7 linked regions of the Coturnix japonica genome follow. The protein of the gene in region 1 interacts with the protein of each later gene in a biochemical or structural test. Links are inferred from orthologs where the notes say so. Each region holds a gene or a part of one and is shown in the gene's direction. Other genes may lie near its edges. The genes, in order: UBE2D1, NEDD4, ARIH1, AREL1, MUL1, SMURF2 and MIB2.

What was found.
Region 2: the proteins of UBE2D1 (region 1) and NEDD4 form a complex in vitro, tested with the Homo sapiens proteins (14 studies listed by BioGRID). The link is inferred for Coturnix japonica from reciprocal best matches to the Homo sapiens genes UBE2D1 and NEDD4.
Region 3: the proteins of UBE2D1 (region 1) and ARIH1 form a complex in vitro, tested with the Homo sapiens proteins (4 studies listed by BioGRID). The link is inferred for Coturnix japonica from reciprocal best matches to the Homo sapiens genes UBE2D1 and ARIH1.
Region 4: the proteins of UBE2D1 (region 1) and AREL1 form a complex in vitro, tested with the Homo sapiens proteins (5 studies listed by BioGRID). The link is inferred for Coturnix japonica from reciprocal best matches to the Homo sapiens genes UBE2D1 and AREL1.
Region 5: the proteins of UBE2D1 (region 1) and MUL1 form a complex in vitro, tested with the Homo sapiens proteins (4 studies listed by BioGRID). The link is inferred for Coturnix japonica from reciprocal best matches to the Homo sapiens genes UBE2D1 and MUL1.
Region 6: the proteins of UBE2D1 (region 1) and SMURF2 form a complex in vitro, tested with the Homo sapiens proteins (4 studies listed by BioGRID, with this or other methods). The link is inferred for Coturnix japonica from reciprocal best matches to the Homo sapiens genes UBE2D1 and SMURF2.
Region 7: the proteins of UBE2D1 (region 1) and MIB2 form a complex in vitro, tested with the Homo sapiens proteins (2 studies listed by BioGRID). The link is inferred for Coturnix japonica from reciprocal best matches to the Homo sapiens genes UBE2D1 and MIB2.

Annotation. Positions count from the first base shown.
Region 1 is NC_029521.1:5,286,812-5,290,950, forward strand, and holds the start of UBE2D1 (ubiquitin-conjugating enzyme E2 D1), read left to right. Parts: upstream 1-1,339; 5' UTR 1,340-1,354; coding exon 1,355-1,387; intron 1,388-3,251; coding exon 3,252-3,315; exon of another isoform or gene 3,316-3,409; coding exon 3,410-3,441; intron 3,442-4,139. Other genes in the region: CISD1 (CDGSH iron-sulfur domain-containing protein 1), read right to left, coding at 51-81.
Region 2 is NC_029525.1:6,722,655-6,726,154, forward strand, and holds part of NEDD4 (E3 ubiquitin-protein ligase NEDD4), read left to right. Parts: 5' UTR 1-961; coding exon 962-2,482; intron 2,483-3,500. UniProt on the Homo sapiens protein: E3 ubiquitin-protein ligase which accepts ubiquitin from an E2 ubiquitin-conjugating enzyme in the form of a thioester and then directly transfers the ubiquitin to targeted substrates. Specifically ubiquitinates 'Lys-63' in target proteins.
Region 3 is NC_029525.1:1,052,449-1,055,948, forward strand, and holds part of ARIH1 (E3 ubiquitin-protein ligase ARIH1), read left to right. Parts: intron 1-1,769; coding exon 1,770-1,836; intron 1,837-2,406; coding exon 2,407-2,513; intron 2,514-2,931; coding exon 2,932-2,974; intron 2,975-3,500. UniProt on the Homo sapiens protein: E3 ubiquitin-protein ligase, which catalyzes ubiquitination of target proteins together with ubiquitin-conjugating enzyme E2 UBE2L3.
Region 4 is NC_029520.1:34,490,080-34,493,579, reverse strand, and holds part of AREL1 (apoptosis-resistant E3 ubiquitin protein ligase 1), read left to right. Parts: intron 1-212; 5' UTR 213-472; intron 473-1,588; 5' UTR 1,589-1,632; coding exon 1,633-1,648; intron 1,649-2,290; coding exon 2,291-2,517; intron 2,518-3,500. UniProt on the Homo sapiens protein: E3 ubiquitin-protein ligase that catalyzes 'Lys-11'- or 'Lys-33'-linked polyubiquitin chains, with some preference for 'Lys-33' linkages.
Region 5 is NC_029536.1:4,256,271-4,260,348, reverse strand, and holds the start of MUL1 (mitochondrial ubiquitin ligase activator of NFKB 1), read left to right. Parts: upstream 1-1,278; 5' UTR 1,279-1,324; coding exon 1,325-1,453; intron 1,454-1,581; coding exon 1,582-1,669; intron 1,670-2,523; coding exon 2,524-2,644; intron 2,645-3,183; coding exon 3,184-3,913; 3' UTR 3,914-4,078. Other genes in the region: protein FAM43B, read left to right, coding at 1-71. UniProt on the Homo sapiens protein: Exhibits weak E3 ubiquitin-protein ligase activity. E3 ubiquitin ligases accept ubiquitin from an E2 ubiquitin-conjugating enzyme in the form of a thioester and then directly transfer the ubiquitin to targeted substrates.
Region 6 is NC_029533.1:7,225,771-7,229,270, forward strand, and holds part of SMURF2 (E3 ubiquitin-protein ligase SMURF2), read left to right. Parts: intron 1-1,359; coding exon 1,360-1,570; intron 1,571-2,368; coding exon 2,369-2,472; intron 2,473-2,982; coding exon 2,983-3,097; intron 3,098-3,500. UniProt on the Homo sapiens protein: E3 ubiquitin-protein ligase which accepts ubiquitin from an E2 ubiquitin-conjugating enzyme in the form of a thioester and then directly transfers the ubiquitin to targeted substrates.
Region 7 is NC_029536.1:1,724,293-1,727,792, reverse strand, and holds part of MIB2 (E3 ubiquitin-protein ligase MIB2), read left to right. Parts: intron 1-405; coding exon 406-584; intron 585-767; coding exon 768-952; intron 953-1,366; coding exon 1,367-1,432; intron 1,433-2,150; coding exon 2,151-2,392; 3' UTR 2,393-3,500. UniProt on the Homo sapiens protein: E3 ubiquitin-protein ligase that mediates ubiquitination of Delta receptors, which act as ligands of Notch proteins.

The DNA of each region.
Region 1 (4,139 bases):
CTCTCCCTCCTCTCCCCCTCAGCCCCACACAGCCCCACAGCCCTACCCACCCCGCACGGCGCCATTCTGCCCCAGCCCCATGGCTCCCGTTCCGCAGAGGACACACACAGCTCCGCAGGGCGCACGCGCCGCAGCCCGCCCCTTCTAAAGGCCGTGAAGGCAGCGAGGGGAGGAGCTCCGCAGGGCCGCACCTCCAGGCCGCGAGGGGGCGGCGGTGGCCGCGTCGCCCATCCGGTGCCCCGCGGACACGGACACAAAGCGCCCGCCGCCCGCCCCGCCCCTCGCTGTTACTTCCCGTTCCGCCGGCGCGTGCGGATGCCGTTATCCGCCCGCCCCACCTCCCGGCCCTCCCCCGCCGCGCTCCTCGCTGCCGTCTCCCTGCGCTCCCATGGCGCTGAAGCGGATACAGAAAGTGAGTGGGGGCTGTGGGGCCGCTGTGGGGCTGCAGCCGCCGGGAGGGCCGCTGTGCTGTTGTCTCCGTCAGGTTGGGGGGGGAAGGACGGGTTTGTCGCTCGCTCTCCCTGCCCTGAGGGGAGCGAATATAGCGTGCGGAGGGATATTGCGGCCGTAGGACTCGTGTCGGTGTGTCGGCACGTTGTGTCGCGACAGATGGCAGCAGTAGTGTGGCATTACGACGTGGGGTCTGTCGTGGTAAGGCTTACAAAGCAAAGGTGTATCCCTGAGTCCCTCCGTGCGGATAAAATGGCACCCGTTGCTGTACATCGATGCCTGCTGATGTACAGCCTCTCTATTCCAAGGAGACCGAGGGGACGGGGGGTGTTTGTGCAGTGCTGACGTTGGGGCAGCTCTGCTGGCACAGGCTGCTCTTCATCACTGCCAGAAATACACAGCTAACGGTGGTGGCCGTGTTGGAAAACAGCGTTTTGTAGCCGAGGATTTGCTCTATCAAGCAGCACCGTTGTGCTTTTTGTATCTTGTGATTTCCATGGATATAAACGGGAGGCATTACTTTCGGAGCAAGCTCCACCTCACGCTCTGTCGTGCCTCTATGCGATATGGTGATGCTTTGCGCTTTCTTGGCTTTGGATTTTCTCGCTTTTTCTTCAAGTCCTGCATTTGGAAGAGGGGGATTGTTCCGAATACCTTATTTTTGTCCCATTAAGATGAACAGACAAAGCAAGTGGGAGGTCTGGTGGTGTTGTGGTGTCAGAATGGTGGCATCTATGGAGGTAGCACAACTGCAGAACTTGAGTCTTAGTGTCTTACGTCATATAGGACTGATACCTAAACAGTCCAGCTGCTCTGATCTGTGTCATTACTGCCTTCTTTCACTGGTCTGCTTTGAAGGACTCCATAAAGGACACCCTGTGGACTTGAGAGCTGTACACGAATAATGGAAGGCAGCGAAAGAACAACCCGCTGCTTGGTGGGTGTTGTTTATTCTGGATGTTAGCAATTATTTTACTTACTTAGAGATTTTGAAACCAGCAGCATCTTCTCTGACACATTTGCAGACTGGTTTGATAATAGCTGTTGTTTTCCATCTTGTCAGCATAGTGCTTGATTGTTTTTCTCCAGCCACTCAGTAAGAATGGAGGCATTCCAATGCTCAGATATGCCGTTGAACTAAATGTCTGTTTGTTTCAGCATGTGTTTCATATGCATAGATGGGTGGGACGTGCCAGCTTACATCTTCATGTTGAAAATAACTTGGCTTCTTGTTGAGCTGCATCTTCCTTTGGGTTAATACAGGAGAAGAGGTGGATGTGAGCACTTAGTAGGAAGTACAGTGCATTGTGTAGCTGAGAAACTTCCAAACCTTGCTTTTAAATAATGGTGTGGGGGAAAAGCTCTGGATGTGGTTTCATGTATCTTAAAGAATTAAAATAGCTTCTAGTGATGCTGCTCATGGTCTATTTCTGGCTCCTGATAGCCTGCAGGCTTGCTTAGCAGTAAAAATGAGGAATATTTTTAGGTCTCTCTTATTAGTACTCCCGCTTACTGAGTTTCCATAGGTACCATGCTTAAAACATCCATCTCCCTGTTGTCAAAGTATCCAATCTCATTCCAGTGGCTTTGGAGGAGACAATATCTAACTGTGTTTAATGTGGCACATAACAGCTTGAGCAGCTGCGCTGTCCTCACCAGCTTCACAATTCTTTAGTGCAATATTTTATTTAATTCAGTATTTCTTTCAGTGCTTGAGAGGATTAGAAGACTTAGTGTCCTATCAGTGTCCTCAGCTTAGTTGTCTTCTCTATCCGAGTTGATTATGGTCCTATTGGGGTAGAGCATGGTGTGTGCTGGAGCATGTTGGTGTCAGTATGTTATTTCTTGAGAGGAAAGCCTGGCATGAGTTGGGTCTGTTAGGGTGTGGAAGTTTGGTCCAACTGTTTTTCACAGCTATAAAAGCTTTCTTAATGTCTGAACATGACCTTCACTTAAAACATTGGGTTGAAGAGTGACTTGTCTTCATCATGGTTGGAAAATAACATGATTGGATTGATCTAGGTCTTAGCAAGCTGTGGTTAGAAGCATGCTTTTATTGTGGACGGTTGACAGTGTCTTTAGCCTAAACAAGTTGGAAATGTACACCTTCCTAGCTCCTACCAGTTAGGAAGTACAAGTGTTGGTATGAATCAATGAACTAGTCTTGAAGGTCTTGATAAAAGCATCCAACAAGAGTCACATATAATTGCTCTAAGATGGAATTCTTGGGTTTTGAGATGTCCCTTTTGGCCATCGGTCTTGTGCAGATTGCTGTCTTAATCTTGTGTTTTTCATGCAAACTCGGTGTTCTCTTGTTGGACCTTGTGTTGCAAGTCAGAGCAGACAGTGGCAGGAGCTGCCCATGGAGTCTGGTGATGCGTTGGAAACTTGAGACTTGTTGACTTCTTGTGCAGGCAGTGACTTGGTTACCCTTCTCTGTGCTGTTCCTTCATGAAATTTGAATCCAGATCAAAAAGCAGCTGCACTTGTACAGGATTCTGCTCTTGGTGCTTAGGCTGAGCCTACGCGGGGTGCTGCTTCTCATACAGCTTAGGATTCCCCCAGAGCAGTGAAGCTGGGGGCTGGCAATTCACCCTGTAGTTGTTTGAGTATAGCAGACAACTCCCTTGTTTTCAGTCCCATAGTTGAAGGAGTGACTTAGTGAGGCTGTAACATAACTACATAGCTTCAAAACGTTATAGGCCTACTTAATAAAACCTTAGTGTCTTCATTTTGAAGTGATGACGCTGTGTGCTGTCTGCTTGTGTGTTTAATTGCCAATATTTGTGTGTTACTTACAGGAACTGAGTGATCTGCAGCGAGACCCCCCAGCCCACTGTTCTGCTGGACCTGTTGGAGATGACTGTAAGCTCCTCCTGGGACGTTGCCATGGCTCATCTTATGTCAGTTAAGAAAAAGCTTACAAAAGTTCTCATTCTTTTATCTTTTTGACTTGCAGTGTTTCATTGGCAAGCCACTATTATGGGACCTGTAAGTATTATAACTCATTCCCCCTTAAAAACTAGACTTGTTGCCGTTTACGTTACGGAAGTGGTCGTTTGGCTTTCTATTAACATGGCAGTCAAATTCAGCTGTGCTGTGTGCTGACTAATGATTTGGGGCTTACACTGTTGTTTCTGGTAGTCTAATACTAATTTCTTCTTTTAACTGATCAAAAAAGTCTTTCTTTTTCTGCCTGAAATTAGGGATGCTTAATCGGTCAACTGCAATGCTCGAATTAGTTGAAAGATCTTTTTGAAGATGGTTCCAATTCTGAAAGATACAGCCATCTGAAAGGAGAAAGAGTTATGTAATGCAACGTTGAAGTTGCTAACTGTAAACAAGATTGGTGTTGTGCAAGATTGGGGGCTTTTAGGATATAGCAGGGGGTGTGAAGCGGCTCTGGCAAAACTGGCTTTTGGGAACTCTAAGCCAAGAGAACTTGCGGTTTCTGTGTGAGAAAGATGTCCTCAATCTGAAGAAAACCTCTGAAAGATGCAATCTATGATTCACGACACAAGAGGAGGCGACAGCTTAAGAACAGAACGTTCTAAAGGAAAATGAGCGAGGGTGTGAGCAAGAAGAATGAATGAAAACACCACCTGAGAGAAAGGGTGCTTACAAATAGCACGGCAAGAAGCTGGTATTCCTGGTGTTTTTCCTTTGGATGCAGTGACTCTGGAGGAAAA
Region 2 (3,500 bases), on another chromosome or scaffold:
TCCGCTTATTCTGGGCTTCCAGCAAACAAGATGGTACTTTGCTTTGCACTGTAAGAATATTTTGTTTCTTTCTACCTTCAACAGCTGTAATTTGGAAAGGTTGAAATATATTATTTAACATGGCAGTCTGGATATAAGCACTGAATTATTAATCAGAGTATCTTGTTGCACTTCGAGTTTAGAGGCGTCTCACTAAAAAACATTAACTAATTGGTAGGAGACCTTTTCACTACGTGGAAATCTTTGCAAAGAGTGATTGGTTAAACAGAATGCAGATTGTTAGGTAATGCCAGGTTTCTTTCAAGTTTTGTTTAAATAGCCTAGAAAAACTTTTTTTAAGGAGGAGGGTTATTTTGCTGGTTTATGCATAAGTCAGACCTCAGCAGTTTGCTAGCATGGCTACTATTTGGAAATTCAATCCTAGACTTGATACTCAATTATATGGGATTTCATTCCTACCAACTTCCTGTAATTCTAAACCTATGGGTAAAAATATTAGTAGTCATACGCTGCTGGGGAAAGTACGGACACATTGACTCAGCTAGTGCAGCTGCAGCAGAAGCTGCTGTTTTAAACTTGGAAGTGCTGAGAGGTTATTATTATATTCATATATGCAAATTACAGAAGGTATAATCGAAACAAGGTTGATAGTGTTTGTCAGTACGTTGCAGCTGAGGTCGCTGGAATGTAAGTGCTTTATAAATGAATGCTTTCTGACTGCGAGCAATCAAAGACGGTCCAGAAACTGCACTTCAACAAATGGCTGACTGATTTCAAGAGGTACAATATCTTTTTTCTTAACACTACTATCCTGTAGAAATTAGGACAAAGCTTGCAACTTCTTTTATGGGCTTTTGCTGTTGTGATGCACTAGCTCCAGGTTCTGTGCAGCTGCCTGTAAACTTTCTGCTGAAGGATCTTTGTGGTTTTAATTTGCTAATATGCATGGAAATGAGAACAAATGGCACGACGGTTAAGACTGCATTTTGCAACCCAAAGAAGGAACACGGATCTGTTACCGGAAACCTCCGAAGATGTTTTGAATAGTAACAATCAAATGTACTTCAAAAAGGCACAGAATTCTGAACTTAATGGTATACAAATGAAGCTGGCTTCTAGACAAGTTGCTTGTGCACCTGTAATGCAGCAAGTAATTAATCAAGAGGGAAATGCAGCTATTTCTTCACTGCAAAAAAAAAAGAGCACGTCTCTGCACATTTCTCTGCAATCTAGAAGGCATAATGAATGTTTTCGGTCTGGTGATGCTGCAGCTGCTGGCGAAGATGCTTCATTCATCAGTATTTGTAATGAAGGAAATTATGGCATCAGAACTGTGGTTGATCATCAAGCTAACGATAGCCATCTGAGCAATACTGCTGTGTGCATCGGCAGTCTTAACAGTATTGCAGCCAGTGACAATGGGTCCTTCAGCAGTGCTGGCAGCGACTATGGATCATGTGCAAGTACCACGAGTGATGGAGGTTCATATAGTAACAGCGTCATCAGTGACAGCGGCAGCGGCACTCTCTCCACAAGCGATGGTTCTTTCTGTTGTAGTGTTGTACATGGTGATTCTTCGTATGGAAACACTGCAAACAAATACAGTCCATACAGAAGCAGTTCATCTCAGGAGGAAATAGAAGTGTGTAGAATTAACCCTGCTTTTGACCAAGAAGCTGTGTCGGTGAGGAAGAAAACCAAAGTTCCGCTGCGGCGGTGTTCATCATTGGTAATTTTCCCCAGAAGCCCTTCCAGTACTCCTCCAGCTACTCCAGTAACCTCAGGTCAGATGCCACATAGAGGTGCCTATCAAACATCACATAAACTAATTATTTCTCCTAGTGAGCTGGCACATAAGGAAGATCAGACTGTTTCTAAGGGATTCCTTTCAACAGCAGTCAATGGACTTCGACTGTCTAAAACAGTTTGCGCATCTGGTGAAGCTAGAGACATAAGACAGCTTTACTTGCAGACATCATTACGGGACAAAAGTCGAATTTTGAACAGTTCTGAGCAGACAGCTCGTGAAGAAATAGCTGACAGATTCTCATGCATTTCAGTTCATCTGACTCCAAGAGCATTTGCATCAAGCAGTGAAATGGTTAATGGCTGTTGCAGTCAAGAGTTAAATCTGAACTCCACTACAAAATACCCTCCTTTAAAACTGGCACGCAGCACATCTGCATGTTTACCCTCAAAAATAGATTCAGAATACCAGATGAATATAAACGAACTGGAAAGACCGAATGCACAGATGAGCAAAGCCCACCATGTTTTGCAAAGAAGTGTTTCGTTGGAAGGATCGCGTCAGAAAGTTTCTTGCTGTTTATCCAGTCTTAAATACAAGTGTCATAATGCAAGGACGTCTCAGTTGCACATACAGTTCAGACCTGGGAACGAAGGAAAAACAAGTGGTGTTAAGAAAAGATATGGAACCTCTAAAAGGGAAATATCCAGCACTTCTTTGTGGAGGCCCCATAAGGTGAGTGTTCTGACTTATAGAAAAATCAGTGTTCTGCAGCTGAAACTAAATTATAAATTTTAAATAATAACATTTGTAATCAAGATTTTAAACACAGCTATTTCAGGATTTCTTAATGTTGTCAGACTGTCATCATTGGGCAGGTTAATTTTTATATTACCCACAACACTCATTTTTTTAGATTTGATTCTTAAAATATGGTACTGTTTTTGGTGAATTTGTCATATAGGGAAATATCTGTATTTAATATATTATACACAATTATTTCCTGCTTACATGAACCCAAAGGGATTTTCTTGTTTAAATAACTTCAATGTCTAAATGCCTAAACTTCACTTTTGTAAAGTTTTAAATACGTAACTTTCCAGCTCAATTATAGTAATGATTAACATTGCATATAAAGTTGGCAAAAATGAATAAATTGCTATAAAGAAGGCTTTCAGGTTTATTTCATATAGGCTTTATTCTCAGTATGGTTTACTTTATGAGAGATTAAAGATAAGTTATATTTGAACAGAGAAACTGTAAATACCATTTGTTTCTGTATACACCCTGAACCACAGGAATTTTCAGTTTCCTTTCCTTTTTTTTTTCCCCCTTCCAACCACTTCTTCAGTCTGAGCAGCACGCTGTAACTTAATCTCTCTCCCAACAACATTGCTGTCCAAATTATAGTACTCGGCTCTAGAAGGTTTATATTAAATATATTGTTTGGTAATGAAGCTTACATCGAACTGAATTTCCGGAGGGTTTGATCTTATTAACTCTTGAGGCATTTTCTATTGTTAGTAAAGCATAAACCATATGAAATGTGAATACTAGAAACTGTTATAGTGAGGTTGTGGAGACTTGAACAAGCTGAGTATTATTAACTGTTTTTAATTGTGAACTCTGGAGAAAGAGCAATAATACTTACAAAAGTTATTTCATGTTTTAAGACTACACTGTCCATTAATTTAAATTACTGTGGTCTTATAATACTTGTTGAAGCAATGGGTTTTAGGCCAAAGATCTGACA
Region 3 (3,500 bases), on another chromosome or scaffold:
AGGCTTTTTGAGCAGGGAGGCTTAGAATAGGGCCCCTTTCAGCTCTTTGGAGATCTTCAGACTAGCTGAAGGTAATCTGCTTCTAGCCCTTCTTCACCCTTGCTAACAGTGCTGGTAATTGCTTTAAATTTACATGAGATGAATTTGAAATCAGTCTGAAAATGCCAGTGTGTGTAGTATTTTCAGAACTTAGTTGCTTATAGAGATGAAGGGATGATACTTCCCTTGTAAGCAGTGTATTTTTCCAGCCTGGTATCTTCAGTGAGGTTGGCTCGTTTGTGTCTTGGCTTGTAGAAGAATGGACCCAAGGGGTGGTTTGTGGGCACTGGGAATGGGTTTCATCTCTTAATTTGTTTGGTTTATTTCATTGTTTGTGGGGGAAAAATCCAATAGTGCTCATCAAAGCTGAACGTAGAGAGGTGAGGGTGTTGACATGGACCAGTCCAGGAGGTTGGTATGCAAAGGCCACGGGTCATGTGTTCCATGTGCCCGGGCTGGGTATGGCATTACTCCTCAATTGCAGTTCCTGATGCATACGTTAAATGTCACAGATAAAACTTACTGTGTTTTTTTTTTTAATGCTTTAGAACCTTATGTATAGAGTAAGAAAGAGAGTCTTGAAATTCACACGACATGTTAAAATTCAGTGTTGGGTTTTTTGTTTTTCTTTTTTGATTAGTTTCACTTTGACATTGCAGGCTTATGGACATGGGCCTGATGAGATGCTTTGTCACTTGGTTTGTTTTTATTTTAGCGCTGGGAATTTGGCTGTCACGTGCTGTGTTTATGTAATAACTGGTGTGTCATTTGTCGAGGAGCTCCCCAGACTGCTCAGGGCGAGGGTTTATGCAACATCCCAGCGTCACGTGCTGTCCTTTAGTGCATGTTGACATGATAACATGCAGGAGCACACTTGATTCTGGCTGCACCCTGGAATGGTGTATTGATTGCAATATTTGTGTGGTATGGTTTTGTCAAGCTGAAATCCTGTTTAATTTAAAACAAATACCACAAAGTGCATCCAGCTTTGTGTTGCAAGGCTTTATAAACGCAGGTGTTTCTTTCATAACTGAGAAATGTACGCAGAGATCTTCAGTATGTAATGAAACAACTTACAACACATTCAGTATGGACAGTCTGCAATTACCTGCTGGGTCTGTGTGGCCGGGCCAGAATTGGTCACCATGCTCTTAAAGGATTCCTGTCTGTCTAGTTTTCTTCTGCTCTCTTGCTTCTAAGCTGACTTAATGTTGGTGCTGTATGTACCCTGTGATATTGAATTCAAATCAGTTTTGAATTTAAATTGACAACAGATTAAAAACACATTGACTTTAAAACTGAAATGGTAGCAGTCTTTTGAAATCCAGATAACATTAGATCTACCAAAGTCAATGAAGCACTTATTCTGAAGGCTTGCGAAGGAGTTTGACACAAAGTATGGCTGTTCTGTGTAGATGAGCCGGTGAAGCTGTTTGCTCTGCTCCTCGGTCACTCAAGGAAGTATTTTTTAAATGAAAACCATCCTCTCTCTTTAGGGGGTATTTCTCCTGGACTGTGTGTGCTGTCTGTCTGATTCTGTAATTAATATTAGAAGTTAAATACAATACCTTTCAATTTCACAGTACCAACAAATAGCAAATACAAAAAAGAAACCTGCAAGCTTAGAAGGAAGAATCAGAATCATTTGTCTTGACTTTCTGGTCACACAGGGGAGAAGGGACCTTTCTACTACAAGAATATATTTGGTTTTTTTTTCTCCTTTTCTGCAGGCGTCTGATCACAGATTCCAAGGTGAAATTAAAGTACCAGCATTTAATAACCAATAGTTTTGTAGAGGTGAGTTTTGATTTGAAATTTGTGATGGCTCCCAGAGTGTTTTTTCCTCCTGCTTGTGTACTGAACCAGAGTGAGGTTTGTTTATAGCTGCAGAGCAGGTTTCCTTTTGTGTGGTCTCTAATCAGATATAACTACAAATTAAAGGCTTTGCAGGGCTTGTTTTGTGGCCCATTTAGTTACAGGTTGGTTGTAGGAAAATAGTCGAGAAAATCTGTAGGACTACAGAGGTGTAACCTAAAGATAAGGTAAATATCTATAGATTACAAGATTGCAAGAGCTATTCAGTGTTTATTTTCTTAGAAGCACTTAATGTTTATGGTTTTTGAATGCTACCTAAGATGTCTCAGGCTGCAAATCGTGAAACACTTTTCTATTAAGAGCAGCGTGTCTTAAACATTTGACATTTGAAGTAAAGCTGTAAAATGTCTTTTAGCAAAATACTGATAGCTTCACTGCTCCCAAAGCACCATTCTGAGTTTGTCTTGATTTTTGAAAGCTTAGGTTTGTCCCAGTTTCCTGGATGTACATGTTCAAATCCACTATATTGTTTCTTTTTGCTTTGTTTCATAGTGTAATCGACTGTTAAAATGGTGTCCTGCCCCAGACTGCCACCATGTTGTTAAAGTCCAGTATCCTGATGCTAAACCTGTTCGCTGCAAATGTGGACGTCAGTTTTGGTGAGAACAATAAAGCAAAAGAAGTTAAGGTTGCCTTCAACTTAGCACTTTGAAAGTGGTAATAAAATGAAATAATGAAAGCTAATACAAGTTAATAATTAGTGAACTCTATTGTCTTTCCCAGGCGAGATCTTTTTATTCACCTTCTTTGTTTATAAGATAGCTAACTTTGCAAGGTTACCTGGATTGCTAGAAGGAAAATAAGACCCTGTTGAATCTAATATTAATGCCCAGACTGAATGCAGTGTATATCCAAATGAAGTTATGGGAGTTGAGGGTCTTTTTAATATGGGTAGTGTTTCCTTGGAGTTTTCCATATTCTATCAGCAGGGCCTCTCAGAAGAAAAATTTCCATGATGTTAACCAAATTAAATAAAAGAATAACCATGTACTTTATTTGCTGTTTTTCCCCTTACAGCTTTAACTGCGGTGAAAACTGGCATGATCCTGTTAAATGCAAGGTGAGCATCTCAAAGTTCTTTGCTAAGTGTGTGACTTTGAAACATTTACAGTCAACTTATGTGCATGACATGCAGAAAAAAGCTCAAGCTTTGCAACTGCTCACGTCAAGAAGCATTTTAATTCATCTGTTTAGGTGGTAACATGAAAAAAATTAGAGAAGTCTTCCTGGATGCCTTTAGGATGCTTCACTTTATTTGTGAACCTACACCCCTTGGGGAAGTGCCTGAAGGAGGAGGATATTCCAGATGAGACCATCAAGAACTGGGAAGTTTCAGAAGTGAATGCTTCACTTTACAGAGTGTTCCTGCACTCAGTGTTTTTATAGGTGCTCAGGGCTTCCACAGGGCTGTGGTTTGTGGCGTGGAGCGAGTTGGGTCCTGGTTCTGGTGCCTGTTTCCATACAGTGTGCACTGCTTCTTGTGGAGCTGCCCAAAGCTATAATCAAACCTGGGATCCCAGGGCCCAGTGTGGAGCTGACAAACAAACATGTTTTGTGCCTTGAAGAGAGCAGTTTGTTGATCCTCA
Region 4 (3,500 bases), on another chromosome or scaffold:
TTTTCAGTAGATCATATGGAATGAGAGTGTTATATGGAGAATGAGAACATGTTGAAGCCAAGCACTTCATTGACTGTGATATCTTTGTAGGATTGTTTCTGTGGATTTGACATCTAGTGATACTCTTGTAGTGCAACTCTCACCTGTCTGTACTTGCTAGACTTGTTGTCAGTGACAGAAAGATCTAACTTTACTTTTTCTTCTTTATCCAGGGAGGCTATCAAACTACAGGCTACAGGGAGCTGTGCTTCAGGTCAACCTTTTTACACAAAGAGGAAGAGGTTGCTGTGCTCAGGTCCTCACCTTTCAGCTGTTCTTCTTGTGATGCAAGTTCCAGGAGTTCCATTTTCTGTGGCAGTCTTTTCTATGGCCTCGTTGTGCTGACATTTGCCCCACTTGGGCATAAGGAGGAAGGATGCTGAAGAATGGGTTCCACCCTTTTGGTTTTTAGAACATGGGCAGTTGCATAAAGGTAAGTGATTGTTCTTTAGGGGGGGATGGAGGGGGATGTGGGGGACCAGCAAAGGGCATTTGCTGGGCTGGAAAATGATGGCTGTTGTTGTGGCCCGGGGGGATACACGCCTCATTTAAGCCTTCTGCATGCTGGTGTCCATTGCTACTGCTGTTGAGATGACTGCTGAATAACTCCCCCTTTGTCTATATATTTCTTTAAAGACAGTTTGAATGCACAATGTAGCTTCTCACTAACAGAATGGTGACTTGGTGAGCTATATTGGATGCATTAGTGTATGCCAAGTTGTCTGATTGTTGCACACATTCGCTGCTGCTGCTGCTGCTTGTTCCATCTGTCAGCTGTGTCTTATCAACCATGAACATGTTGTTCAGGGTGTAGTCTTTTTACTACATGTTTGTTTAGCACCCTCCTCAGTGAGAATTTAATTTTAGATTGGTGTCTCTATAATTTACTGTTATCTTAATAGCCTGCAAAAATCAAGATTTTAGCTTGCAAGTTGATCAGCAAGAGTTTCTGCTTTTCAGAAGCGAGTGCACAGAGGTGGACAGCTTTTTCTGCATTCTACAGTAGAGGCACAAGGCAGGAAAAAAATATTAAAAAATGAATTCGTTCTTGCCCTTGGAGGATCTTATTTGTTCTGAACCAATCAGAATGGTCTTGTCCACATCCTTTTTATTCCATAGACTTTCTTATAAAGTTCCTGGTTGAGGGTCAGTTTCTATCTGTTTTGGTGTTGGCTCTATTATACACTTCCATGGCAGTCTAGACATTAACTTTGTGACTTGATTCCTGTAGCTTTGAGATTTCCAATGAGTGGCTTTCAGATATTTTTGTTGAAGTCCTGCAAAATTAGCTCATCCTTCAGCACCCAAAACCCACCGTTTGTTTTTTGAGGATAGGTCACTGGATCAGAACAGGAATCTGTGATGGTGCAAGAACTGGTCCTTTTAGCGCACTGATTGTATATTTCAGTATCATGGAATAATGCCTTAAAGATGTCCTTGGAGAGGGAGATAGATGATAGGTATTTGTTTGAGGAATCATAGACTAAATTTAGGCCAGTGTATGTGAGGAAGAGCTGTTGGTCTGGACTTGGCCTATTTTGTGTTCTAGATGCAGCTGTGATCCTCGGCTTTGTGTCTCACCGAAGGGACCTGATGTTTTACATTATTGGTAAGTGAAGGAAAGGTTGCCAATGTGTTTGTTGACCTCTCCATAGGCATTAGAGAGATTTACCAGAAGCCTTTGATTTCACGTTAGAGTCTACCTAACAAACATGAAGTTATTGTCACCCTGCACTGTGTACTCCATTTGGCAGACTTGCCCCTTTACCATTCTTCTTGTTTCCAGAGTTCTTCCATTGACCTCACTCCTAAGCCATCCCCTTACTTTTTCTCTTTAGAACTAGGGTAGGGTTGTTGCCTCCATGATGCTTCTTAATCCAGGCTTAATGTGATGTGCAGGGTTTGTGTGGCTATCTGACTGTTTCCCTTAAAGAAATCTCTGTAGTTCTAATTTGCAACTCAGAGGGAATTTTGTGTTTTTGCTGGCCATGCCTGAGACTCTGTACCACCTTTGCCTATTTCTCCTCCACTTGCAATCATTTGCAGTGTTTTAAGGGATGTATTGTTTTCTAACCTAACTTCTAGCATAACACAGTCCATAAATGTTTGCACAGTAGCTTTTGCCTTAAACGTCTAATTTGCAGTTGAGTAGAATATCATCAATAAAAGGCATCTTGGGATAATGAAGATGTGACATTCGTGCTTGATTCTTCGTGCTACTGTGACTACCATCTGTTTTCTCCTTGTGCAGGTGGGATCACAGTGTCTGTGGTAGCCTTCTTCTTCACCATTAAGTTCCTCTTTGAGCTTGCCGCACGTATAGTCAGCTTCCTTCAGCATGAGGACCGGGAGCGCCGAGGGGAGCGAACTATTTATGACTACGTGCGAGGCAACTACCTGGATCCCCGGTCCTGCAAAATCTCCTGGGATTGGAAGGACCCCCATGAGGTGGGCCATAGCATGGCCTTCCGAGTGCATGTAAGGGAATATTTCTGTTTCCAAGTATCTTTGGGGCAGGGACATAGGTCTGAATTAGAGTTTCCTAATTAGGAGTAGGAAAGCTATCTGTTCTTGTGTTCTGCTCTATTAATGTGTTACAGAGCTCTTTAAGTGCATATCCAAGGTTTGCTCTCCAATAAAATCTGATCACAGTCTCTAGGTTCCTTGGAATAATCAGAGGAAACCAGGCTTGCCCTACTATTGCATCCTTTGCTGGGAAGCGAGTGGGCTGAGCCTTGCCTTCAGCCAACTTGGTCATATATTTTGGATATATGCAGCTGAATGCATATTATGCAGATTATGCAGCTGAAGCCAGGAACATGGCACTGAGCATTTTGGCAATCCTAGAGCTGTAAGTCCTCCTGGCTGCTCCCATCTTATCAGAAGTTATTCTAAAAACTCTGGGTGTTACCTTTTTGATCTGTAAAAGCTTGCCAAGGACTCTTTTTTTTTTCCCCCCCCACTCCCAAAAGGCCATGTTTAGGGGAATGGGTCAAGAATACAAATGAGATTCATGAGGGGCCTGAACACTGGGGGTCTGGAGTTAAGTGGGGATCATTAGAACAGGTTTTGTTGAGCACCTGTGCTTTCCACCCCACCGTATCCAGCCAGAAGGGTAACAAAGAAGGAAGTTTCAACTATGTTATCATTTTGAGAAGATGATGGAAACCATTTTACTTGATGGTAAATGAGACAGGGTTCTAATTCTAGAACAGAGAATTAAAAAGAGCTAAAAGGAACTTGTTCTGTTCCTGCTATTTAAATTTACTCCCTTCACCTCACTGACTCATTCATGGCAGCTCCGGCAATCTGCTTGTGCGTGCCATACTTGTCTCACTTTTGCTTAGTCCTTTATTCATCAACAGGATCTGTTGCATGTGCTGGTTTCTCTCCCTGTCAGCCCATAAACATAGTACTTCAGGCCCTGCACTGTGTAGAAGCAGGGAATAATAGTAACTTTT
Region 5 (4,078 bases), on another chromosome or scaffold:
CCACCGTGGTCTCTTTGGCCAGTGAGATGCGGGGGTGCAGCTTGCGTGGCCCAAGGGCCCCCATATGCTGAGCATTCATCCACTGCTTTGGCCATACCGGGTGCACTCGGGACACAGCTGGACTATAGGGCTACGTCCCTTTGCTCTTAAAGGGGGGGATGCAGCTGGATCCCCCCATCCCTCTCCTGGAAATAAACCCAATGTGTGTTTTTTGCCTGTGACAGCACCTGTCTCTCGCCAGCCTGGAAGACTCGCGATGGTTTGTTGCTTTTCTGTTCTGTATTTACCCATTTTTTGCACTTCTCGGGGTAAAATATCCACCCCACAGTGGGGGGGGGAGGGAGGGGAGAGGGGTTTCTGCACCTTCCATGCCATTCTACGTGGTGTGATGCTCATGTTGCCATGGCAATGGTGGGGTTTAAATAGAGCAGGCCCACGCTTTGGGTTGGGGGGGGAGGCTGCAATGTGGATCCCAGGCCTGAAACTGGGGGGAAAATACAGCCCAGAGAACCTAAATCAGTGGAGTTTTACACAAAAATGTTTTTTTTTTCACCCAGTTCCTGCTCTATCTGCCTTGACAGGAGCAGCAATGAGGGGGGCACGGTGGAAGGAGCTGAATAAGTGGGGTGGTGGGAGGGGGAACAAGGGGCACTGCTGCCCCATAGACTGAGGAAGGGGATGCACCAGTGGGATGGGGTTTGTGTGAGCTCCCCCCACATACAGCAGCCAAGGAGGGGGTGGGCTGTGGTCCTGATTCCCTCTGAGCTTTGGGGGCTGCCCCCACACTCTGTGGGCTCTATAGAGCTCTATGGGACTGTGGTTTGAGATAACTGGCCCCCGAAAGCACTATGGGGCCAAGATTTGGGCTAACACCCCTATAAATAAACCTATGCAGGGTTATATCTGAGATATAACCAGCATCCTGGGGTGAAAGACTGGGATTTGGGTTAAACATCCTCTGAAAGCCCTTTAAGGCTGAGATATAGGCCAACCCCACACAAAAGGTCCTATAGGGCTGGGATTTAGCTTATCCACCTCCAAAATCCTTGGGGTGAGAGTATGGGATTTAGGCTAAATCCACCCCAAAGGCCCAATGGGTGTGGGATATGGGCTATCCTGCCCTAAAATCTTGCGGTAAAAGGTTGGGATTTGAATTATACCCACCCCAAAGGCCCTATAGGGTTTGGCGGGGCTGTATTGGGGGGCTCTACCAGGAAACCTTACAGCCATAACTCGGAGGACCGCACACTCTATGGTAACGGAGTTGCTTCCAGAGCGCCGCTCGCTTGACGTCATCACTCAGCGCCGCTCGGTTGCCTCGGTAATGGAGGAGATGGAAGGAAGCGGGCGGCCTTCGGCCTTGCAGGCCGCGCTGTTGGCGGCCGGTACGGGGCTGACAGCGCTGCTTTACTCGGTGTACCGGCAGCAGACCCGGCTCTCCCGAGGCCTACAGGTGGGTACGGGTGCTCCTGGACCGGGATGCGGGCTGCTAAAGGCCGTAATGGCTGCTTCGGGCCTAGGCCGCGGCCTAGTCCTGAGCCTGGGCCTAGTGGTTGATCCTCGGCTCCTTATGTCCCATAGGGAGCCCGGAGGCTGCGGTTGGACGGGGAGCTGCGGGCCGTGCTGCTGGAGGCACCAGGCCGCTGTGTGCCTTATGCTGTCATTGAAGGTATTGGTATAGCTAAAGGCTGGGTCTCTTTCCACATCTCCCCTTTGGCTCAAAGGGTTTTGCCCTAAAATCTGCTTTCTTGCACCAGAAATGGGGTAGCACTGCCCTGTAGTGCAGGCTCCTCCTTCACAGACACACACCCAGGGAAGGGGATGGGCTGTGATTCCTTCCAAATGAAAGGGGGAAAACTCCAGCCCTAATAGAAGGCTCTGGGGTATGGGATAGGGTTAGTTCCTTCCGTATGCAATGCAGGTTGGGGTTTGGGCTGGCATCCCTATGGAGCTTAAATATAGCCTGATTCCTGCAAAACTATGGGGTGAAAGGCTGGGGTTTGGGCTGAATGTACCCCAAAGGTCGTGTAGGGATTGATCCCTTCATAAAGGTACTACAGGGCTGGAATTTAGCCTGTCCCCTTCCAGAATCCTTGGGGATGGGATTATGGAATTTAGGCTAAACCCACCCCAGAGGCCCAGAGTTAATCTGGTCCCCAAAATGCCCCAACGAGGCCGGCATTTGAGCTACTTCCCCACCAAAAAAACGCCCCGTGAAGGTGGTATTTGGGCTATTTCTCTCCCCCAAAAACGTGCAGTGGGGGCTGAGATTTGAGCTAAGACCTCCACCACCTCCACAAGACACATTTGGGCTGGGATTTAACCTGTCCCCATCCAAAATCATGGGAGTGAAAGACTAGAACTTGAGTTAAACGTATCCCAGAGCCCTGTGGGGCTGAGTTCTGGGCCTGTACCTCCCTCCCCTTAAAAAATAAAGCACTTTGGGGCTGGAATTTGAGCTAATCTTCCCCCATGACAATAAAAGAGACTTGACCCACAACTCAACCACTCCACGTGTTCCAGGTGTGGTACGTTCTGTCAGGGACACCCTGAGCAGCCAGTTTGTGGACAACTGCAAGGGCGTCGTGCAGAGGCTGACACTGCAGGAGCACAAGATGGTATGGAACCGAACGACCCACCTCTGGTACGTACCTATATAGAACCATAGGACATCCCAAGTTGGAAGGGACCCATAAGGACCTGAAATCAGAACCTTAAGCCTTAGAGCAATGTCTCAACACTCCTTGAGCTCTGGAAGTTCAGGGTTGTACCCTCCACCCCACACATATGGCAGCTGGAGGCCACCCCAAGCAGCCAAATGGAGCATCCCTGCACTGCACTGAGCAGCCTAATAAAGCAGAGAATGGGAAGCTTGATGGTATTGTGGAGTCATCGTGGCTGTGGAGGTGATGAGGATTTAGCTGCCCCTGAGCTCTTTGCCTTGTGACAGCAGCAGGTTTTGCATGGGGGGCACAGGCAGAGTGATAAATGTTGCTGTGTTGAAAGCTGTGGTGTTTCCCTGCTACCTGGCTTAGGTTGGAGGGAACCTTAAAGATTATCAAACTCAAGATTATATCAGCTTGGAGGCTACCTTAAAGATTATCAACCCATGCCATGGGGTTGGATCACCCAACCCAGCCTGGATTGCCAGCGTGAAAGCACTAATGCTTTCTTTATCCCCAGGAATGACTATGAGAAGATCATCCACCAGAGAACCAACACCACAGCTTTCGACTTGGCCCCATTGGAAGACAGCACCGGGGTTGCCGTGAGGGTGATGAAACCACTGGAGGCTGCTGAGCTCAGCCTAGAGACAGTGCATGAGAAGTTCCATCCCTCAGTGCAATCCTTCCCCGATGTCATCGGCCACTACATCAGCGGGGAGCGCCCCAAAGGCATTCAGGAAACAGAGCAGATGCTGAAGGTGGGAGCTGCACTGACTGGTGTCGGAGAGCTGGTGCTGGACAACAACACCATCAAGCTGCAGCCACCCAAGCAAGGTCTGCGTTACTACCTGACCAGCTCCGATTTCGATGCTTTGCTGAGGAAACAGGAATCGAACGCCAAGCTTTGGAAGATCCTGACCATCCTTTTTGGTTTTGCTACGTGTGCTGTTCTCTTTTTCCTCTTAAGGAAACAGTATCGTTACCACCGGGAGAGGCAGCACCTCAAACAGATGCAACAGGAATTCAGGCAAGCTCAGGAGCGGCTGATGCGTGAAGTGAGCACTGAGGGTGGAGAGACACTGAAAAATGCCTGTGTCATCTGCCTGAGCAACGCCAAATCCTGTGTCTTCCTGGAGTGTGGCCACGTCTGCTCCTGCACTGAGTGCTACCGAGCCCTCCCAGAGCCCAAAAGGTGCCCCATCTGCAGACAGGCCATCAGCAGGGTGGTTCCCTTGTACAATAGTTAAAGCGTTGCATCTCAAGGGGGTGTTTTATGGAGAGCTCCCTCTCTCTGAGGGTCCGCCTGCGTCCTGCCCTTCTTGCTGCTGGGTGTTGGATGGCTGGGGGTGGAATCTTGGACTGGGGAAGGGGGAGGGAGCTGAGGAATGATTGGAAATGATTGCAGGTGCTCA
Region 6 (3,500 bases), on another chromosome or scaffold:
CATCCTAAGGCATCATGACAGAATTGGGTTGCTGTGCATTATTTTCTTCTTATAGCCCAGATGTAAAATGATAATATTATTAAGAATAAGCTTTCAGCTGTTGCTGAGCTGATCCAAATGTGTGTCACTGCAGGGGCTTCTAGATGGTAGGTTTGTAAGACATAGGATATAGATGATCCCTGTAGACTGGAGTAAATTTCACTTGAATGTGGTTTGTGCAAATTAACTTTAAATAAAAGGTTTGAAAATAACCGAATGGCTGTCAGAACCACAGGGCAAACTGGGAACACTCCCACTTCTTTTTTTAACTGCCAAAAATGAATGCTGTGGTGGTGAAAGCCCGGTGGAAATGAAGTTTGGTTGGTCAGGGGAGCTTTCTCAGTAGACTTTGTTTCAAAACAGGCAATGGACTGAAATCTTAAGAGGTATTGAAGTTGTGTGAGGTTCTGTCTCATATGTTTGGTTTTGTTGTTGGAAAAAAATAAATTGACGTTGCATTGGAAAAAAATATATATCTAAATTGTGACCTTTCCTATTTATCCAGTCAGTTTGGGGCATTATCACATGTCCTGCACAGAGGCTTTTCAAGTTTTAGGGGAAATACAGCTTTTGTCCTCTTGTTTGGAAGTGCCACACTAAAAAGCTAAGCCATGCAAAAAGGCCTACTTGAGAAGTGACATGAGAAAGGACATCTCTGCTCAAAACTGACTTTGTCCAGTAAGAAGTCAGATTTACAAAATCTCTTAGAATTGCTAGTAAAAATACTTGCTTATCTGTGCCAGTTAGTTACATGTGAGCTCCCCACATTCCTGTGGTCCAGACTAGGCCAGGTACAAGGGACAAGGTCCTTGCCAAGCTGCCAGTACAAACATCTTTTTGTAAGCTTACTCTTTTTCATGCAAGCCATTTAAAACAGACTATGGTATTGAGTGTAGATTAGAGGCATAGTGTTTGGCTGATCCTTGAATTTTAAATTGGAGGAAGGCAAAACACGCAAAGGAAATATGGAAATGGTATCTGAGAAATTCAGTGTCAGCAGCTTAGTAGTAAAACTGTATGGTTAATACCTTATTATATCGTGCTGTAACCTTTTACATACTTTGTAGAGTACTACTAATAGAAATAACCAACTCTAAAAACAACTGATAGTTGCCAAGAAAGACAGAAGCATATGTCTTTAGTCAGGATAAAATCTCTCTGAATTTACTTTTTTCTAGGCCTGAATGTTGTTAGTGTAATCACAGTAATCATAGTAAATCGAAAGTACGTCAGTTACTAAGACTTAACCTTTAAGAAACACATGAAGAAAACAGGAGACGTATGACTTGAATATCTGCAAACAGCTGTGTTTGTTTCTAGCCGCCAGAATCAACTTAAAGATCAGCAGCACCAGCAGCAGCAGCAGGTAGTGTCCCTGTGTCAGCTTCCAGATGAGGCAGAATGTCTGACTGTGCCAAGGTACAAACGAGACCTGGTGCAGAAACTCAAGATCCTGAGGCAAGAGCTGTCACAGCAGCAACCTCAAGCTGGCCACTGTCGTATTGAGGTCTCCAGGGAAGAGATTTTTGAGGTAATTTGAGATCTTGACCCATTTGTTAACACTGAGGGAAGGGGAGGAGGGTTATCCATAACTGTCTGAAGAAGTCATTCAGTTAGACAAAATGCTGAAGCCTGTTTGTCTCAAAAACTTTATCACCCATCCCACCCATCCCTGTTGTGTTTTTACTCCACCCACAAACATGATAGCCCCACTGCGTTGTCACCATTTTTCCAGCCAAGAAATATTTGTGTTGGTATTCCCAATGGAGACAGTCAAATCACTTAATAATAAACTGAAAAAGAAGGGGGAGAAATGCTGCTGTAAAGGAGTGGAAATTATTATATTCTTTTTCTGAAGCGTCCCAGGCATGCCTGCCTCTTCTCTTCTGCAAAAACAAAGATTGGGGGCATCATAAATAAAACCTTTGATTTAATTCCATTTATAAAATGAGCATTTGGTTTCTTTCTTTAGCATTCTTTTTATATTGTATTGATGAAGTCTTACTGATAGAGCAATAATTCCATAGATTTACTGGGATGGCGGTGGTGCTGATGATGCTTAAGCATCTTAAGATGCTTTGTGAAGGTTTGCATATCTTCTGGTCAGTAGAAGTACCACTGTTGGCTTTTCACACTATTTTTTACTTGACAAGCATTATCACATTTATAGAAAGCTATGTAACAGTTTGTGATTGGAGAAACAGCAGTCTCTAGGAAAACAACATCCCCTTTGGGCTTAGATTCTGAGACTCCCTTTGTTTCTAATAAGCAGTAGTAGCTTCTTGTCTCTAAATAGCAGTTAATAAAAGAATGTGTTGTGTATTTACAGGAATCTTACAGGCAAGTCATGAAGATGAGGCCAAAAGATCTATGGAAACGATTAATGATAAAGTTCCGTGGGGAGGAAGGTCTTGATTATGGAGGTGTTGCCAGGTAAACAGTGTGTCCTCCATCCCTTTCCTCAGCCCCACCAGCTGCACCACTTTGATTCCTAAACCAAACTGACAACGACTCTTTTTCTTTTAAAATTCTGTGGTTCTATTTGTTCTAGTAACGCTGTATGTCAGAAGAGTGTATATATCTCAGATAGTCTTTTCAAGGAAAAAAAGCAAGGAGAATTTATTGTAAATAAATCAAAATGCCTGTTACCAAAGGTGTCTCTGATGCAACCTGTATCAATTGGAAAAGCTTGGGTATTTGGGAGTGTATGTACACCACTGAACAGTCAACTTGGTGACAGAATCATAATCAGTGACTCTTGGAAAGCAACTTGAAGGAAAATCCTGGCAGCTGACAGGTGCTGTGCATTACTGAACCAGTGAAAATAATTCTGCTTTCTACACGTGCATAGCTGTCCTTTGAAAAGATTGAAAAGATTCTCAATATGCAAATTAATTTATCTAAGGTTATGCAGTAAATTCTTTCTTCTTTCTTGTTCTTCAGGGAGTGGCTCTACCTGTTGTCACATGAAATGCTGAATCCATACTATGGGCTCTTCCAGTATTCCCGAGATGATATCTACACACTGCAAATCAACCCAGATTCTGCAGTTAACCCGGTATGACTGACAATAGGAGTTAAGTAAAATGATGCTTTTGTGACCCAGCAGTTAGGTACATGTGGAGAATAATGTTCTAGATTTAAGAATCTAGTTCTCACGTTAATATTGCTAGAAACTAAATGAATGAAATAACATAATTTGTTGTTAGTATGGATCAAAGAAACAAAGAAACATCTCAAATGATCTTAATTTTCTGTAAGATATTGTTTTATGTTTCCTTTGGGAGAAATGGAGTTTGTTTTGATTCTTAACAGTAAGACTCTGGACTTGAAGCAACGTACCCAGTGTGCTGTATATAAAAACAAACTAAAAAAAGATATCAAACAGCTCTGGTTATGTGTTGGGTGGTGGTGGTTTCCTTGTTGTTGTTAAGGTGTATTGAAATTTAATTAAACGTTCA
Region 7 (3,500 bases), on another chromosome or scaffold:
GTCAGCAGAAAATTGTTTTTGACTTCAGATGAGTTTGGGATCATGTGCACACAAGGTTGGCCTTTTAAATAGCTACCATTTCAGGTTCCACATGCCAGCTGCCCATCAGCTGATATTCACTGTGGTGCTTTCAATATACACTTTGTAGCTCTTGTCTGCTGACTGAAGAAGTGAATACCCCTTACTATGGGCAGTAATGATCAGTACCAGTTGGGACTTGTTTTATGCCCACTTGTTCCAGGAACACAAGGTTTGAATCTGCTGTTTATACACTGAAGGATCATCTTGCATTTTGTGAATGCAAAACTGTGCTTTCAGATAGTCACTATGATGATTAATTTTAAACTTGGTACAGCTACGTAACAGAATCTTTCTATTAACAGTGTGTTTCTTAATGTATTTTAGCTGCAGGCTTCTGGCTTTCTTGGAAACACAGAGCTGAATGTTGGGACTGCAATTGCGTGTTACTTAGCACAGGAAGGAGCAGATATTAATTATGCAAACCATCGGGGAAAGTCTCCTTTAGACCTTATTACAGACGGAAGGATTGTCCAAATCATCAAAGACTTCTCGCAGAAATTCAGGTAAACAGTGTCCTGTGGAATAGCTCCCTGTCAGGAGGCTGAGTTGGTCTCACTAGTGCAATGAAGATTGATAAGTTTGTGCTACCTGAGCATCTGCATTTTTGTCTTCACATGGAATTGTTTGCCAGGGATCAAAACGATTTTATCAGCTCACTGAATTTGATTACATGTTCTCGGTTGCAGGGAACAGCAGGTTTCTTCAGACTGCTCAGCCATCACCTGCAGCCTTCGCCGCGTGCACACCACCCCCAACACAATGACCAACCTTAGTGTCTCAAGTGTGGCAGTCCCCACAGAGTGCCTGGTCTGCTCAGAGCTGGCCTTGCTCATCCATTTCTTCCCATGCCAGCACAGCATTGTGTGTGAGGGTAAGTCCGTTCTGTCTTTCTTTTCCTTTCCTGTTCTGCCACGTAGCCTCCCTGATTCATAAATCAGAGTCTGTTGGGATGCAAAGCTGTCCATGAGCTGGAACAGCCCCAGCATGATTTCAGCACTGTCACTGTAGATGGAGTGTCCAGAGCCACAGAATGGAGAGCTGTATGGCATCCATAGCACAGCAGTTCTGGCAACACAGAGCATTGAGAAGTCGTGTTGTGTTTGCTACTGCATAGGATAGACTGAAGTGAGAGACGAGGATGTAGCTCAAAAATAGAAGGCAGTGTCCTGATTTCCATCTCTTGATTATCCAGGGAGTCCTCAGGCCATGTTCTCGAGTCTATTGTCTTCCTATTGTTCTTGCAGCAGTGGGCTTAATTGTATCACTCCTTCTATCATTTTGGTAGAATGCTCCAGAAGAATGAAGAAGTGCATCAAATGTCAAGTGACAATAACCAAAAAACTCAAGCAAGGTATGTTTGCTGTACGTGTTTGTCCCAGCAGCAATCAGTGGTTCTCAGTGGGGGTAAAAAGCCCAAAACATAAGAAATAGAGTTAACTTATTTTTTTTGCAGGAGTGGGGGAGGAAAGGGGATCTGGTACCCATAGCATTAGTGTTAAACTCGTCCTTCATGGAATCAGGTTTTCTGTCCTGATGCCTGGACAAAAGCACAGAGGAACAGGGTCCAAGGATCTCATTAAGGTCCACTGAATTCTGTGCATAGTGTTGACTGTAGGACTCTGCTTCGTGTAGCTGCTTCTATGCATGTTGATGTAGGTGATGTCAGATGGTTTCTTGCTTCATACCTCGTGTGTCCTGAAAGACATAAGGGGAAAATTAAATCCAAAGTGTAATCAAGGAGGTTGAAAGAACACAGTACTGACATCAGTGTGAGGATTCATGGACTGTGTGGCAAAACGTCATAACCAGCTTTGAAAGCTTTTACTTAAAGGTAGCACCAACATATTGCAGAGCAGCAAGGCAGGAAGTATCAGACAGCTTGGATTAAGCAGCAGAAGAGAGGAAAGCACCACTGGCCAGTTGATAAAAAGCATCATTTCAGGCTATCCAGAATCCCTGGATAAGGACTGAACAAACTGCTGCTCTTGGAGTGACAGTCTGGTTAAGGAGACACTGCATGAGACAGAGCACAATAGCAACTAACTCTCCCTGCTCTCCCACCCCTGCAGACAGCACCGAGGTGGAGTGCAGCCCCAGCTCTGAATCCACAGATCAGAGGAAGCTCATGGAGGAGCTGCAGAACCGCTACCGGCAGATGGAAGAGCGCATCACCTGCCCTATTTGCATCGATGACCAAATCAAACTGGTCTTCCAGTGCGGACATGGCTCTTGCCCAGACTGCAGCACAGCCCTTACTGTGTGCCCCATCTGCCGGCAGGCTATCCGGGAGAGGATTCAGATCTTTGTCTAAGGATATGCTTGCTTCCCTTTCTGTTCCCACCTCCTTTACATCCTTTTTGTTTGCATTTTAGATGAGAAGCGCTGCTCGGTCTGGCTACCTGCAAAGCCATTGTGAAAGAGGGGGGGAAACAAATGTGACTTAGGTGAAGGGGTGGGAGTGTCCTCCACTTGTAGCACTGTAAGGGCAAGGAATGGTGCTGGAGGGCAGGCAGCCACCTCACCTTGTGCTGCCTGTCCTTTGGAAAGACACGAAGTAAAGAACGCTGAGCTGTCTGCTGGAGGCAGAAGAGACTTTCAGCCCAGAGGCCAACAGACGTTTGGAGTTTGGAGTGCTCCAGTGACTGCATCGTGTCTAGTGCCCTGCAGTGTCAGACTTGCAGCCTTTCGTTGCTCTGAAGGCGATGCTGTAGGAGGATGTACCTTCTACCTCGGCAGGTAAAGCGTTTGCTTGTGCTTTGTGCAAGGAGATACCGGAGATCAGCCGTGGCCATTGGTTTTCCTTGCTGCCTGTCAGTGGTAGGGAGGTCATGTCCTACGACAGCATGCTCTCTGAACGAGCACTTGAAGGCTCGACGAGATTTGGACTGACAGACAAATGTGGCTGTGATGAGATCCTAGAGACAGAGTGTGTGTGTGCCTTAGAGATAAAGTAGTGAGCACTGATTGGAGAAAATACGTTGTTACAACAAAAACTTCTCTAAGTGACACTCTTCCATGTTTTCTTTTTTTGCACAACCGTGCGTTCAGAGACTCCTGAGCTTTCTAACCATGATGCCAAAGGCAGGTGTTCAACGCTCCAATCAAAGTGTAAAGAAAAACAGAGTCATAATTAAGAAATGAGAAGGGTTTTCGGTTTTCGTTTCTTTGTTTTGCAGCAGAACTTAATAAAATAAAATTATATTTTCCTGAGCATTAAAATGAATGTACAAACAGTAGCTGAAATGTGGATCTGGCTGTACTTGTGTTTTCCAACTGTCTGACTGAAGAAATATTACCTGGTGATTCTGTCCTGTAAAGTTACTGTTGGCAGAAGTGGCCACCTGTAGGGTGTGTATGTATCCATATGTGTTTGCGTGTGTGGTGTACATCTTTAATGACACAATTATACACAAGTGATG